2 linked regions of the Daphnia pulex genome follow. The main gene of each other region encodes a partner of the protein of the gene in region 2 in a complex. Links are inferred from orthologs where the notes say so. Each region holds a gene or a part of one and is shown on either strand. Other genes may lie near its edges. The genes, in order: thioredoxin-2-like and nuclear factor NF-kappa-B p100 subunit-like.

Region 1 (3,394 bases), about 1.8 Mb from region 2:
CGTAGCTGGTTCAGTCGTCTTAAAAGTTGGCACGTGCGCTCAAACCTGGCCACAATTCGATCTTTCGAGATTCGGAGTTCTTTTTCCTATTTATACGAATGCATAAATTTTAATTATTTAATGATAGGACTGCGGTACTTACTCGACTTTTCAGCTTCACAATTCTGGCTTCGAGTTTCAGTTGACGTTCACGTGTCTGTTTTCCCATCTTGATGCTTGATGTACGTCTTGATCAGTAGCTCGTCGATGTCGAATGAAGTCTCAGTGGCAGAAATGTTCTGCGAACTAAATGTTTTTGGATTAAGTATCGATTGAGATGATCGAATTGGGAATTTTTTTTTGTGCCGATAATATTGGGAAAAGTTACGCAATTTATTGTAGCAATAAAATCGTAATTTATTGTAAATTTTGTCGTTGATTCCGAATTGGCATATCATTAATATTCGGTCGAATAATTTTCGATTATGATTCTAGTTGCAGTTAAACGAAATGGATGGCGCAATAAAAATTCCCATCCTATTTGGTAATTTCCCGCTATAACTAGACAAAGTGTCCTCCAAAACGGAAAAGAGCACTCTAAATTTACATTCCGTTGTGATCGCTGTAGCTAACAGGAAGAAAATGCAGTTGTATCTTGTTATAATTTTTAGGGTTCCCTTTCTGATCGTAGGCTCATTTTTCTATAGGAAATTCTGTAGACCCTCTCGGTGCCTTAATTTTTCCATTACAATGTATTAACTGCCGTCGTAATCAGATCTGATGTAATAAAGATTGCTAGAGAGTCACGTTTTACTCGAAATCCAATTATTATGTTATCGATTGGATATAGCGGCTGTTTCGGCTCTTTGTGTGTGTGTTACTGAGCGATTTAAATCTGACCGTGAAATCCTTATAGTTATCAAGAACCCAACCGTAAAAACTGGATTTCATTACAAGCGAGAGAGGGACGACACACTGATCAATATTAATATAGTTAGTTAAAGCTTTATCGAACGCATTCATCGATTTAGGTTTAGGCAATGTCATTAAATTATTGCTGTTGTTGAAGTCGGGGTTCCCGTTGCTATGGCTTCTTAATGGTATGAAAAACGCTGCAGTTCACATCAATTGGGAAAATGTGAAAATGCTTTTAGTTTATAGTGTAATTTGTATCTAACAATGAAAGAACAATTTTTTTGTCAGCCTGTATTTCCTGTGGTATAATGCAGAAAATCCCATTACACAATTATTTAATATAAAAGAGCATAGTATTCATCTAGCCAATATACAGGCCACATAACTGGGAAATCTATTTATGTTGATCAATCAGTTTTCTAAGCTGGTCTTCATTGGCTCCAGAAAACTCAGCAACCTATAATGAAACGACAGTTAGAAAGCTGTAATTATGAAATTTTTAGAGATGACTCACCTTTACACCATTCTTCAAGTAGAGGAATGTAGGCATGCACGAAATGTTGTACTCAGATGCAACATCTTCACATTCATCCACATCAACTTTAACGAAAACAACATTGGGCATCTCTTTCGACATTGCCTGCAGTAGAATTTGAAAGTTGATGAAACACCTACTTTGAAACAGTTATGAATATTAAGTTGGTGACCTCAATTTTTGGAGCAATCATCTTGCAGGGGCCACACCAAGTGGCATAAAAGTCCACAACAACTAATTTTCCTCCTGCTTCCTTCAACTGGTTATTGAAGTCTTGCTAGAATTTTTCAAAAAGAAAGTATATCAAACACGGAAAAGGAACCGTCCACGAGTTTGTTGTTGGTTTTGTAATTTGGCATAACGCAACAACGATAAAAGGAGGTCAAATTGATGGCGTTTCTCTCCTTTCAAACGATGATGTAACAAAAACCGAGAGCATGAGTCGATTGAAATGTGTACCTTGTCCTTAACTTGATAGACCATGATGATTAATATATCCCAAAGTTTACACGAACAGCAGGAATCGAATGTCACGTGAAGATCCTCGACGAGCTACTTGCAAACGACCGGCTCAAGCGTAAAATGACGAGTCAGAATTTAACGCACAGATCGGACAAGTGTCTTATGTTTGTTGCTAGCGCCACTGGTGGGAAAAATGAGAACATTTAGGCTTGGGTTCTAATTGATTCTTCGGGCCTTTAATAAATCAAGTTTGGTTGGATCTCATAGTCTGCCATCTAGTGGCGAAGCATCAGTCCCCAAGGAAAAGATTCAATTTCACGAGCACTTGAAAACTTATCTTTCACGCGTTGATCATTATTTTTAGTAATCGTTTAATTTTTCATGGTGTCTAAAAGTTTTCTGTAGTAAATTATAGCCAACGAATGGAGTAGTGACCTACCTAGTGAGTAAAAACCTCTAGTACCGCCCCCTTTTCCAACATACATTTTGTTGCTGACGTAAAACGTAAATCGTGAACGATGCACATTAATGGAAGGTCCCCTCATCACAACCCACGGCTTTGATTAAAGAGCCACAGTGATGCGATTAAATAAAAAAATGAATAAAAATGAACCAAAGAATGTCATCAGAAAAACATAGGGGGAGCCCACAATCGCACAATGCCATCTAGCAACCGATAGTCGAAATTAATCAGTCAATGGCGTCGTCGTCACCCGAAGAAAGCATTGTGACTAGTATAGAAAATGCTTGTAATTAATTCTCGCTGATTGCAACAGTATATCGTATTAGGTGTGTACAATCGTGTTGCTGCGTGTGTGTGTGTATACGATGTGGGTGCAAAAGTTACCTCATTAAACGAAGAGGCATCTGAGAGAGAAGCAGAGAAACGAGAAGCCTAGAGAGGAGGGGGTGGAGTCCAGTTGTCCATTGGAGGGGGGTGGCTTGGTGACGTCAACATATTCGTTTCTCCCCGTACTGCTGGTGCTGGTGAAAATTGTCTGTAGAAAGTCCCTCCGTGAATTCGTTGGAGAGAACCCCAAAGGTTCTGACTGGCGAGACTAGGGGGAAACCGTTGGGCTATACAGTGGGCGGAGCTTGGGCAGCAGCAGCAGCAGCCCAGCCAAGGCTTGTGGATGTGTCGCGGTTTTAACTTTTTTCTTACAACCGACTACTCGGAGCTAGTGTAAAGAGAAAAAGGGATATTATTTCGAATGATGGAATTCTCGGGGGCAGGGTCACGTGTGCCGCGCCGCTAAGGTAGTCCTCCATCCGTTTCGCTCATTTTCATCGACTCGATCAGTGTTTTCAACGTGTTTTAATTAAGTTTTTTAACCAACCCCACCGTCTAAACAACGAGCCTTGACTCTGTGTGTGTGTGTGCTCATTCCCTATACCCTTGCCACATCAATGGCTGTTGTGTTGTGTGTGTACGTGTTTGCCAGCGTGGGCACCTACGCCATTGCTCTCGATTCGGCTGCTCCTCCGTTAATAATAGTAGAAAGA
Region 2 (3,935 bases):
ATAGACCTTATCTATTCGGACGATGCGTAAGTCTCCAGCATGAGTGCTTTCTAGATTTTGAAAAACACGGTAAGATTAGGTTAGAACAGTATTGCTGCGTTAGTAAAATTCCACTTCGTTTAGAAAGACTGAACATCCACTTCATGTTTAGGACTTCCAATCAAATCTCGTATAAATCGAAATTCGAATTCGAGTTTTTCGAAACTTAAGATGAAGTCTAACTTAAATTGACAAAATCCAAATTCGCGGGTCAATTGAATTAATAGAAAATTTGAAGGTGAATATTCATTGAAGTTATTGCGGATATTTTTTTATGTGTACATTAATGCTGATTTCCGTAATTTTTTTAAATAAAATCATATGTAAAAGTATCAAAATGTGTGTCATTCAAAATACTTTATAATCGTTTAAAGAAGCACAGACAGGATAACAATTTTATGGAAACCTTTTAAATTTCGATTTTTGTGCTTTTATTCTTTAAATGATTAAAAAGTAATTTATTTTGTCTGTACTAACCATACAAATGTTTTGTGGATAAAGATCTTAACATAAATTGATTCGAATCGATTTAAATTAATTTTTTTTTACTTGAATCAAATCAATGTGATTTTTTTACAAAAATTCTCAATCCGAAATGAGGTTTCACATGTAAATTGATTTGAGTGGATTCCTACGTTTAACTATTTAAAAATGACTTTGCTACTTGGATTTCGAAGGCGTCATTTTTTACGCTTCTGAAAGTGGAGAGAAATAATCGAAACAATAAAAAAAAGAGAGGTCACCGTTAATTAATAGAAAATGGAATAAAAATGAATAACGCTCAAACTCCTCGGTTATTGTTGTTTTTCCATTAATATACTTAGCTAGTATTAAAAACTACAGTACGTGCATAAAAAAATACGAAATTTAGGACGACGAATTAGATTTTCCGTTTTCCTTTCACGCTTCTTTAACGCGGTAGTTTTAATTAGCAACATTTTCCACTACTATAGATATCTTTTAAAACTTACTTAAATTGTGAATAGCTTGGGAATATTGAGGTGGGCAGATCTGTTCACGAAAACCGTTTTGTTCCACAAAGGCCTCAAACTTTAGTTTAACCGAATGAAGATCCATTGTATTGGCTATCTTGTCTGCTTCGTCCTTCAACTATAATGACCGGGGATGAATGTTAAATAACTTTACTAATGCAACAACAAATAAGACTACTTAAAATAGAATATAATCATTGAAAACTCCATACCTGTTGCCCTTGGTTACGATTCATGGGTGCATTCCCCAGTTCATTTATCAAACGCCTTTCAACCACCTCACGGACTTGTTTTTTCGCTGTGTGTATAATTGTTAAACCGGAGAAACTTTAAAACAAAATATTTAAAAAAATTTATTATTACTATTATTAACAATTTTATTGAGTAGCCTATACATACGTTGCAGTCCATTCGTTTTTACCAGCGGAGACTATCATTTCTTGGTATTCTCCTTCGTTCCCATTGTTCCCATTGGAGTTTCCTTCCCCTCCAAGACGATGGACATGTGGAACAGGTTTTGAACTGTTTGTAACTAATGTACAACGAATAATAGCTTCTCGATCTTGACAGCCTTCCAACTAAAGACAGTCATTTAGTAATACTGGCATTAATATTAATTCTAAATAATTGTGAATAATTGGCAAAATGAAAATATACCAATACAAAACTGACTAATTCTAACACAACTAATATGTGTGACAGAAATAAGTGTCAACTGAAAAAGTTGAAATACAGTTCTATAGGTGGAATTATCGTACACTGTTTTACAACGGCATAACATTAAACGCAATAGCAGGAATCGCTTGGCGTTAACCCCTACCTCTCTTTTTAAATTAAGGTATTCTGACTTCTGAGTTATAAAGTGGAGATTAAAGATCAACAGTTTTGAATGATAATTCAACCCATATATAATTTACTACAACCTAGTAATTATAATTAAATACTTAAGATTCCAGATTTGAAATTATGGATGAGTTGGTAAATATTTACATTAGCAAGTGAAACATACTTGAACACGAATATATTCTTTTTTGTTCCGTTCCTTGCTTTCTGCCATAAGACATCCATGTGTTCCAGTCATTTCAGAGGCATAACGAAAACGAAACTTCCCTTGTGGTTGATTAAGTATAGATAAACATGGGGATAGCCTGCCTGGTCTGATAGGAATTGAACTGGGAGAATTTCCTGTAATAAAATGAATCCATATTTTACACAATTTTAACATAAATTCATTCTAAAAAACTGCTGATTACCCATGTAGGCACTGTTTGGTGAGGCACACATCATAGGAGAGTTTCCACTGGAGAAGCTGTGGCTTATCGGAGAACTTGAGGAATGTGATGATTCAGGTGAGTAAGGACTACTACCAATTGGTTGATGCATTCTTCATAATTTTAATTTTAATAATCATACTTATTAAATAACATTTGATTATATGTTAAAGAGATATAAATGATATAATGTATATCAACAGTCAACACAGTTCATAAGATACACAACGGAACTAACCTTGAATACACGAAAGAATTCTCGTATTAATTCAACGCAAACGAATTAGCTAAAAATCATTTCGATTTGCGTGTTATATTCAACAAAGACCGTTCAAACTGGAGCCTTTCACAAAGTTACAAAGTTTTATAAGTAAATTTAGCACTGCTCGCGCAATCTTTAGCCTGAAGCTTCATTGATATGACAGAAGGGGAAAACCCATGTGTATAAACAAAACTTTCGATTATATTCCATAGTCGGAGTTGTAAAACCTAAGACCTCTGTCGGCGTAAAATTGAAACACAAACAATTATAAATTGTAAAAAGTTAAAAACCTTTAAAGTAAAAAATTAATTTCTCAGCTAATTTATATTTAATATTTTTTTAAACTTTCATATGAAGCCGTAGTTTTTCTTTGGATAAATAAAAATGTGAATTTGACAACACAAAAAAAAATCTGCCGCAGCGGACAGCGCCATAACTCTCCGCTTCTTAAATGTACATTCTAATTCCATACGCTATGTTTTCGAAAACTGGTGGGTTTTTCCCCTTTATTTGTGGATACATTGCCTCATGTTGCACTCGAGAGACGTCCACTTTCCCAGTCCATAAATGTGTAATAAACAAACTTTCGGTGGTATGCACATGTTACGTTTCATATCTCGACTTTGATTCCAACACCAAAGATTAGCATGGCAAGTCGCTGGTGCATTCATTAAATCAAATGTTATCGAATATTATATGCAAACAGCAATGACGTGCGCAAATTTTGCAATATTTAAAATAATATAGTATGGTATTTAGAATATTCCATGCACAATACCGTTGAAAACGTTCATTTTTAAAATAGGCTACAATTACTTTTATAACAAAATTTATTTACAGGTGTTTATAATCAGACCCCTCGTTCGCTTTCGAGTTTCCAACTTGGTCTGGGTCTGACCTCTTTTGAATTTTTTTAACTCGTTTGTTTTTAATAAATTAAATTAAATAGTTTTAGATTCTTGCTAGGGAATTAAGAATTTATGGTCAGTACACTTCTAAGGCTTATCATCAAAATGACCGCCATAATCTTGTCGGGGATAGCATGTAAGAAGGGTAAACAACTAAAGAATAATTTTAATATAAAATAGACTAGATTGTATTTGGGCTTGAAGTAAAAATTAAAAGATGACCAATTGAGTAACACATCTAACGGTACAGGCAATAAGTGGGAAATACTTAAATATAGGTACAAAAATATTAAAAAATTGCGAATAACATTGCACCGTGCGACTTGCGTAGCAAGGTTCCCTCCGGGCTTTTGGTGCAAGAAACGGAATGCAGATCCCTTGCTTCGCACGCGAAGTATAGAAAGAAGTACAATTGAAAATAATATATTTACTTCCCACAGAGAAGCAGTAACGGGCGTGCAGC

The links.
Region 1: the proteins of nuclear factor NF-kappa-B p100 subunit-like (region 2) and thioredoxin-2-like are in contact, whole or in part, in an NMR structure (PDB 1MDI), measured with the Homo sapiens proteins. The link is inferred for Daphnia pulex from reciprocal best matches to the Homo sapiens genes NFKB1 and TXN. Residues at the interface, in NP_001158884.1 of Homo sapiens: Arg56, Phe57, Arg58, Tyr59, Val60, Cys61, Glu62, Gly63, Pro64; in NP_003320.2 of Homo sapiens: Thr30, Trp31, Cys32, Pro34, Met37, Ile38, Asp58, Val59, Asp60, Asp61, Gln63, Ala66, Ser67, Val71, Lys72, Pro75, Ser90, Gly91, Ala92.

Annotation. Positions count from the first base shown.
Region 1 is NC_060019.1:1,507,757-1,511,150, forward strand, and holds thioredoxin-2-like, read right to left. Parts: upstream 2,032-3,394; 5' UTR 1,913-2,031; coding exon 1,889-1,912; intron 1,707-1,888; coding exon 1,602-1,706; intron 1,535-1,601; coding exon 1,409-1,534; exon of another isoform or gene 1,352-1,408; coding exon 1,289-1,351; 3' UTR 733-1,288; downstream 1-732. Other genes in the region: E3 ubiquitin-protein ligase rnf8-B-like, read right to left, coding at 1-86, 143-208. UniProt on the Homo sapiens protein: Participates in various redox reactions through the reversible oxidation of its active center dithiol to a disulfide and catalyzes dithiol-disulfide exchange reactions.
Region 2 is NC_060019.1:3,340,736-3,344,670, forward strand, and holds the start of nuclear factor NF-kappa-B p100 subunit-like, read right to left. Parts: upstream 2,753-3,935; 5' UTR 2,541-2,752; intron 2,444-2,540; exon of another isoform or gene 2,416-2,443; 5' UTR 2,415-2,415; coding exon 2,285-2,414; intron 2,217-2,284; coding exon 2,041-2,216; intron 1,610-2,040; coding exon 1,431-1,609; intron 1,359-1,430; coding exon 1,244-1,358; intron 1,150-1,243; coding exon 1,011-1,149; intron 51-1,010; coding exon 1-50.